Saccharomyces cerevisiae S288C: one gene and its partner. Changing the gene in region 1 together with any one later gene gives a genetic interaction. Each region holds a gene or a part of one and is shown on either strand. Other genes may lie near its edges.

Region 1 (4,257 bases):
GTATACACAAAAGATTTTTACTTGAAGGAGTAGAGCCGAAGCGTGTGAGTATGACAGCGCTGCGTAAAACATCAGAGACGTATGTAATCTTCTTGTCTAATCCATTATTGTCAATAACTCAAGCTATATTTACATCTTTAGCGAAGTCAGAAACTTATTGTCATCCTTTCAAGCCTCGCCGTTGACATCCGCTGTCAGCATCACCCTCACCTAAAGTGTTATTACACGAAGAACTGATTAAATACGCCGAGTTTGGGATGACCTGTTCTTACCCGTTCATTCCTTTTTATGGCACACTACGGTTAGTATACGGCGTTGGCCGTGTGATAGGGAAAAATAGGGTAGGTAATAGAGAACAATTGATGAGTTTTATGTAATTGTATTCGCGCAAAAATAAAAGAATATCAACAAAAAATTTTGATTCGTTTACTTCATAAAAAAAAATCCTAAAATTTATGAAAATGATTAAAAAAAGACATCCACTTCCCCATAGTGCTAAATTGGTATGGACGTTAAATAGCTTTTATCGTCGTTGGTTTTCAGACAAATGTGTAGCACCCTAAGTGTGAGATATCATATATTTCAGAGAATATAGCACCAAGTATCGTTATGCGTTCTGGTCCGTACCTGAGAGCTGCTCATAAGAATAGGCAAAAGCAAGAAAGAGTGTTCTGTCAGGAATTTTCAAACTATTTACAAGCTAGGAAGGCTATACGTAGTAAATAACAGCCACGATTCGACGTGGATAAACAAACATCTACGAAATCCCATTTTGGCATGAAAAAGTGGAGCAAGAAAGACTTGAGGTATGAAATACTTGCAATCTTTCACATCAACACTACTTTCAAGATGTTATTGCAAACAGAAAGTGCGATTCTCTTTCTTTCATCCGGGCGTTACAGATGACCATATCTTCAGTGAGGATAACGAAAGATAAAGAGTGCTGGCTCACATTAATGGAAAAAGAAATCTACCCGCTAATTGTGATGGCTCAGAGTTTCTTCTTATGATAAGGATGTTAGTTTATATCTTGACATGTGTGTTTCTATTGTACACCGTAATAGCAGATTAGATAAACGAGAGGTCATTCGTAAGGATGAAAAAATGAACATCTGTTTAACTTTCAAGCTTTCTACCATATAGCCGAGATGAGCAAATACATTAAAACATCAAAAAGTGGTGCTTGAATGCTTATTTTATGACGCAAAGCAGATGTAATGCATCCCGAGTAAAACAGAATACTTAATTTGACTTCAGCAAAATAACTACCCAGAATGAACACCGAATTTGACATTGATAACAAGACAATCTAGGAATACTTTTACATCAGCACAATATCCATGGTGGATCCCGGCGGATTTTTCTTTCTTATTGCACCTTAATCAGGTTTACAGCCTATGACTGACTCTGGAGTGTCCTTTCCCAGTATCTGATTGTTTCCGCAACATCTATGCATATCAGAGAAGCGTTCTCATCAGTCACTTGACAAATGCTCGAGGAGCTATCATTTGCTGATAAGGTGCTACAGCGCGCTCCTGCCGCACGCTTTGTTCCTTTTCGATAAGAGTCCCTCGCGTTAGTCTGAGTGAAGTGCGGAATTCAGCAAACGAATAACAATCGACCTTATGATCATGTGGATTATCGGGGCAAAAGATTTGGCCAAGATGTCAGAGAACGTTATCACCAATCACTCACACAATTAAGTGGTAGTGTAACTCCGAAGATACGGCTAATACTTATCATTATCTGGTTTTCCGAATATACAGATTGGATGAAGTAATATATGTATATAAATGGACCAAGGAAACATCAAATTAGGAGATCATGAGGGAAAGGTTTAACATAACAACATTGAAGAAAACAACAAAACAAGGATAATCAAATAGTGTAAAAAAAAAAATTCAAGATGTCAGCGGATGCTAGTACAAATTCGAATGCTTCCCTAGACGAAAAAAATTTAAACATCACTTCAGAAGCTGAAATCAAGAATGAAGACGTAACCGCGGAGCCAGTTCTAAGCACGGTACTATCACCCAACGGTAAAATTGTCTACATCAGTGACAAGGTTGATGAGGCCATGAAGTTGGCTGAAGAAGCCAAAGAAATCGAAGTGACACCAGAAGAAGATAGAAAACTTCGTTGGAAGATCGACTATTGTATGTTTCCTTTGATGTGTATATTGTATGCTGTTCAATTTATGGACAAGATTTCCACTAGTTCAGCGGCGGTCATGGGATTAAGAACTGACTTGAAAATGCATGGTGACCAGTATTCATGGGTTACTTCCGCCTTTTATTTCGGCTATCTATTTATGAACCTAGGCCCGGTACAGTTCATTTTCCAAAGGACCAGTCACATGTCAAAAATGCTTGCGGTTTTTATTGTCATATGGGGAATGTTATTAGCTTTACATGCAGCTCCAACAGTTAAGTATCCTTCTTTCATTGTTTTGAGAGTACTTTTAGGTTGCGCAGAAAGTGTTGTCACACCTTGCTTTACCATTATCACTGCTCAATACTGGAAGACAGAGGAACAATTCACAAGAGTATCAATTTGGTTTGGTATGAACGGTCTTGGCTCCATCCTGATCAACGCAATTGCGTACGGTGTTTACATTCACCAGGATTCTTATGCTATTAAAGGCTGGAGAACCTTATTTGTCATTACTGGTGTGATAACAATCTTCATTGGTATCTTGATATTCCTGTGGATCCCTGACGATCCATCAAAAGCAAGGTTTTTATCTAAAAGAGAGAAATTAATGGTTGTCCAAAGAATTAGGTCTAACCAACAAGGGTTCGGTAATCACGAGATCAAAAAATACCAAATTATAGAGGCGTTGAAGGATGTTAGGACGTGGTTATATTTCCTCTTTACTGTGAGCTCTAATATTCCTAATGGTGGTATTTCAAGTTTTATGAGTATTCTATTGAATAGTGATTTTGGATATTCATCAAAGGAAACCCTATTAATGGGTTTACCTACAGGTGCTGTTGAATTGGTAGGTTGTCCACTTTTTGGTATTCTAGCAGTTTATGCAGCCAATAAGAAGATACCATTTTGGAAATATAAGTTGAGTTGGGCTATTTTTGCAGCTGTCTTAGCATTGATTGCTAGCTGCATGTTAGGGTTTGCAACAAACTCCAAAAAAGCAAGACTGGCTGGTGCTTACCTGTGGTACATCTCGCCCGTCTCATTTATTTGCGTACTTTCCAATATCAGTGCGAATTCCTCGGGATATAGTAAAAAATGGACTGTATCTTCAATAAACTTAGTAGCATATGCTGCAGCTAACTTGGCAGGACCACAAACCTTTATTGCTAAGCAGGCTCCTAAATATCATGGCGCTAAGGTCGCTATGGTCGTATGTTATGCTGTTATGATCGTGCTTCTATCTATACTGCTCATCGTCAATTTAAGGGAAAACAAGAGACGTGATAAGATAGCTGCCGAGAGAGGGTTCCCTGAAGAAACAGAGAATTTAGAGTTTTCTGATTTGACTGATTTTGAAAATCCAAATTTCAGATACACTTTATGAAATAGTGGTGAGATACACTGACATTATTGTTATCAGAGAAGAATATATAAAACTAAAATACTTAATATCAAAATAAGGAATTTTTTATCAAAGTAGAATTTCTGTAAGCTACATTCTCTTGGTGTAGAAGATTTCTCGACTGATGTAAAGGACAAGTCGACTTGTCCTGCCTCATACATACTTGACGATGAAGAGCAAGATACTGAGCACGTGAATCGAGGAACAGGTAAGGATACCTCGAGAAATGAAAAAAAAAAGTTGATCAGCCGTACTTGAAAATTAAATTTGGCGGTGAGAAAGACAATATCGTAATGAAAATGATTCTGACGACCCTTTGATAGTGGCAATGATCAAAAAGAAAAAAAAAAGATAAGACGGTAGTGTGAAGATGACATATAGCGCTACTCTATACTCGTCCAACTTCGAAAATAATATGTGGTCGTTGGTACGTTCAGATAAGAGAATACATCTCGCGCGTACGCATAATTGTGGTCTAAAAAACCGCTGAAATTTTCTCAATACTGAATAGAATCACGCTACTACGACAAGACTCGGTTACTGTGCCTAAAATAATCCTGTGATAAACGAGTTATGTTAAACGCAGTACAGGGGTTAAAGGGCATTGAGTTTTTGTGAGTGGAAATGCCCCCGTTATAGCTTCCAGTTTAATTACAAATTATCAATTTAAGCAAATATAACTGGAGGATTGGGGAGGCGAC
Region 2 (4,976 bases), on another chromosome or scaffold:
AAAATTAGGTGATACTACGAGAGCGGTTGCGGTACGTAGGAAGGCTCTTTCAATTTTGGCAGAAGCTCCTGTATTAGCATCTGATCGTTTACCATATAAAAATTATGACTACGACCGCGTATTTGGCGCTTGTTGTGAAAATGTTATAGGTTACATGCCTTTGCCCGTTGGTGTTATAGGCCCCTTGGTTATCGATGGTACATCTTATCATATACCAATGGCAACTACAGAGGGTTGTTTGGTAGCTTCTGCCATGCGTGGCTGTAAGGCAATCAATGCTGGCGGTGGTGCAACAACTGTTTTAACTAAGGATGGTATGACAAGAGGCCCAGTAGTCCGTTTCCCAACTTTGAAAAGATCTGGTGCCTGTAAGATATGGTTAGACTCAGAAGAGGGACAAAACGCAATTAAAAAAGCTTTTAACTCTACATCAAGATTTGCACGTCTGCAACATATTCAAACTTGTCTAGCAGGAGATTTACTCTTCATGAGATTTAGAACAACTACTGGTGACGCAATGGGTATGAATATGATTTCTAAAGGTGTCGAATACTCATTAAAGCAAATGGTAGAAGAGTATGGCTGGGAAGATATGGAGGTTGTCTCCGTTTCTGGTAACTACTGTACCGACAAAAAACCAGCTGCCATCAACTGGATCGAAGGTCGTGGTAAGAGTGTCGTCGCAGAAGCTACTATTCCTGGTGATGTTGTCAGAAAAGTGTTAAAAAGTGATGTTTCCGCATTGGTTGAGTTGAACATTGCTAAGAATTTGGTTGGATCTGCAATGGCTGGGTCTGTTGGTGGATTTAACGCACATGCAGCTAATTTAGTGACAGCTGTTTTCTTGGCATTAGGACAAGATCCTGCACAAAATGTTGAAAGTTCCAACTGTATAACATTGATGAAAGAAGTGGACGGTGATTTGAGAATTTCCGTATCCATGCCATCCATCGAAGTAGGTACCATCGGTGGTGGTACTGTTCTAGAACCACAAGGTGCCATGTTGGACTTATTAGGTGTAAGAGGCCCGCATGCTACCGCTCCTGGTACCAACGCACGTCAATTAGCAAGAATAGTTGCCTGTGCCGTCTTGGCAGGTGAATTATCCTTATGTGCTGCCCTAGCAGCCGGCCATTTGGTTCAAAGTCATATGACCCACAACAGGAAACCTGCTGAACCAACAAAACCTAACAATTTGGACGCCACTGATATAAATCGTTTGAAAGATGGGTCCGTCACCTGCATTAAATCCTAAACTTAGTCATACGTCATTGGTATTCTCTTGAAAAAGAAGCACAACAGCACCATGTGTTACGTAAAATATTTACTTTATAGTTTGTACGTCATAATTTCTTCCATATTACAAGTTCGTGCATATATAGAAAGAATTCTGTTGTTGTAATTGTCATAACTATTGAGCTTTACCTGAAAATTCAACGAAAAAAACTCAAAAACCACATGCTTCTCTTGAGTCATGCGGTTCCTTTCCCTTATGAGTGAAAATCTTCCTTTTTTAGCTATGTGCGCCATCCGATAAATGTAGGAGCAATGAAGCGGAAAGTCAATTTTTTCATACAGTATACATTAATATCTAGTGTGTATTGACTGTGATCGGGAAGATCTTCAGGGTTGAATTACAACATGGACACGCAGATTGCAATAACTGGCGTTGCCGTCGGGAAAGAAATCAATAATGATAATTCAAAGACCGACCAAAAAGTTTCTTTGCCGAAGGCGGATGTCCCATGCATAGATAAGGCCACACAAACTATTATAGAAGGATGCTCCAAAGATGACCCTAGGCTTTCGTATCCTACAAAACTAGAGACTACTGAAAAGGGGAAGACCAAAAGAAACTCATTTGCTTGTGTATGCTGCCATTCCTTGAAGCAAAAATGTGAGCCTTCTGATGTTAACGATATTTATAGGAAACCTTGTCGAAGGTGTCTGAAACACAAGAAGCTGTGCAAGTTTGATCTTTCAAAAAGGACAAGGAAGAGAAAGCCTAGATCAAGGTCACCCACACCTTTTGAATCGCCGATGGTGAATGTCTCTACTAAAAGCAAAGGCCCAACAGATTCTGAAGAATCTAGCTTGAAGGATGGTACATCTTACCTCGCCAGTTTCCCTTCTGACCCAAACGCTAAACAATTTCCAAACTCTCGGACAGTCTTACCTGGACTTCAACAAAGTTTATCCGATCTTTGGTCAACTTTAAGCCAACCACCCTCATATGGAGCAAGAGAGGCCGAAACCACATCTACCGGAGAGATAACCACCAATAATCATACAAAATCCAATGGCAGTGTGCCCACAAATCCAGCAGTTTTAGCATCTAACGATGAGCATACTAATATTAGTGATGCGCCAGTTATATACAGTACCTACAACTCCCCCGTACCGATTTCATCTGCGCCTACCAGCATTAACAGCGAGGCACTGTTCAAACATAGGCCTAAAATTGTGGGTGATGAGGAAACACAGAACGTCAAAGTGAAAAGACAAAAGAAATCATACTCTAGACATATGACACGGTCGTTCAGGAAGCAGCTACAATCACTGATTATTTCTCAAAAAGGTAAAATTAGAGATATTTCGATGAAGCTTGACACTTGGTCAAAGCAGTGGAATGACCTTGTTGAAAAGAGCATGTTTTTGCCAACCATTGCAGATCCTGTATCAGTAGGAATCATATCTCATGAAGAAGCGACGCTTCGCTTACATCTTTATAAAACCGAGATTTCATATTTGTCAAAATTACCATTCATAAAGGTCGAAGAGAATGTTAGTGTCGATGAATTAAGAAAGAAGAAACCTATTTTATTCTCCGTCATTATGTCATGTGTTTCAATTGTACTAACACCCAAACAAACCACCAGAGGAACTATTATGAAGCTTGATAGTTTTGTACTAAACTTAATTACAAATCAGATTTTCAAGGCTAATAATAAATCTATCGAAATCATCGAATCACTGTCTACATTATGTCTATGGTATAATTTTTTTGAATGGTCAAGTAAAACGAGATACCATATATTTAATTACATCTGTTGCTGTTTAACTAGAGATTTGGGGCCTACCTATGTCAATCGATCCTTTGGTATGTTTAGTGACGAGGATCCAAAGAGATTCAAGTCACCTTTGGAACTTTACAGTAATGGCGCCAGTTTAACTTTATTGGTATACATTTCCGCACTCAATATTTCAATTTTTCTACGTCAATCAATACAAGCTCGTTGGAGTCACGTCACGGAAAAGGCCTGCGAGGATTTAGTTAAAGAGACGAAAAAATCGCGACATTATGACAACGATAAACTATTACTTGATTCAGCTGATGATCCCATCTTGGTTCAATTTGCTAAAATGAACCACGTCTTGGAAAATATTCACACACACCTACATGAGAGAGATCTAAATGATGACGAGTTTGATGATCCTATTTTTACTAAAAAGTATCTTAATAAACTAATGGAAAAATACCACAAGCAATTGCAAGAGATTTTCACTAAACTTGACAGAAACAGGCCAAGAGTGATTGCATTTTATTACTCTGTAGAAGCTTATTTATACCAGTATAAACTTGCAGTATTCATCGGGGAAATGTCGCATACCATAAACGAAAAAGTCGAATTGCCCAGAGAAATAATGGATGATTTTGTTAAATGCTATCATTGCTGTAAATCTGCCCTTGAGGAATTTTCCAAGTTGGAGCCAATTTTAATTACCTCATTACCTTTATTTCATACTTCCAGGATCATATATACCGTTGGTATGCTCTTATTAAAGCTGCGCTATTCCGTAGTCGCTATTCCTTCGTTTCACGATTTAATGCCCCTTACAGATGATGCTATTGCCTTGGTAATAGGGGTAAACAATCTTTTAGAAAAAACATCAGAGCTGTATCCCTTCAACAACTCTCTTTACAAATTTAGGTATGTTATTGCGTTATTTTGTCAAACCTACGCAAACAAAGTTATTGATGTTGCTGATCGCTACAATGCAGAAAGGGAGAAACTAAAGGAAAAGCAGGTCATAGACGAAGTAAGCAATGGCCACGATGGTACGAAGCCAATAAATGCATATGTAACCGAGTCACAAAAGATGCCAACAGAAGAAGATCCAATTATCGACAATAATACAAACCAAAACATAACCGCTGTACCTGATGAAATGCTGCCAGTATACTCAAGAGTTCGTGACGATACTGCCGCAATGAACCTGAATATTAACAGTACTTCATATATGAATGAATCCCCACATGAACACCGAGAGAGTATGACAGGCACAACTCTATTACCACCACCATTTATTTCTAATGATGTGACTAACTCTGCTGACTCAACTAATATAAAACCATCACCTAGTTCATCGGTAGACAACTTGAACGATTATTTGACGGATATAAACTCCTTAGCATGGGGCGTTAATTCATTAAATGACGAGTTTTGGACAGACCTTTTCATGAATGATATTTGAGCCCCCACAACAAAAATTATGACCCAAACCAGATCCGAGTTTGTATTAACAAACAAAGTTTAAAATATGTAAAACTAATTAATTTATCCTTAGGTATATATACGATGAATGCAATTCAATTCATCGCTTCTATTTATTTTAGGTTTTTCTTCTGCTCATGGTTCGTGCTCACTGATTAACCATTGGTGCTAGAAATGACTCGAGAACGGATATAAAGTTTCTATTGGTGATCTTTCTTGTCCCTTGACCTCTCATTTCATTTTCGTTTTCAGCGAAATCGTACGGTGATAATAAGTTGTTGCTCACGTATTTGACATAAATATGGCTGTAAATATACTGTAAAACCTGAGTGTAAGACTGCTGTTTAAAGTCGGACAATAGAACAAACCATAGCCCTGAAGCTGTACAGTATGTGTGGACTCTATACTTTCCTGTAGATATACTCCGTATGTCATTTTTAACAGACCCTTTGGAGAGCTTTTGTGTAATGGAGCGTAACG

The links.
Region 2: mutations in DAL5 (region 1) and WAR1 together harm fitness more than expected from each alone (negative genetic interaction), as found in Saccharomyces cerevisiae (one large-scale study listed by BioGRID).

The regions. Positions count from the first base shown.
Region 1 is NC_001142.9:717,760-722,016, forward strand, and holds DAL5 (allantoate permease), read left to right. Parts: upstream 1-1,906; coding exon 1,907-3,538; downstream 3,539-4,257. UniProt on the Saccharomyces cerevisiae protein: Component of the allantoate transport system.
Region 2 is NC_001145.3:112,013-116,988, reverse strand, and holds WAR1 (War1p), read left to right. Parts: upstream 1-1,641; coding exon 1,642-4,476; downstream 4,477-4,976. Other genes in the region: hydroxymethylglutaryl-CoA reductase (NADPH) HMG1, read left to right, coding at 1-1,255; TRAPP subunit BET5, read right to left, coding at 4,645-4,976. UniProt on the Saccharomyces cerevisiae protein: transcription factor which binds to a weak acid response element (WARE) to mediate stress induction of PDR12 and FUN34, encoding an acid transporter and a putative ammonia transporter, respectively.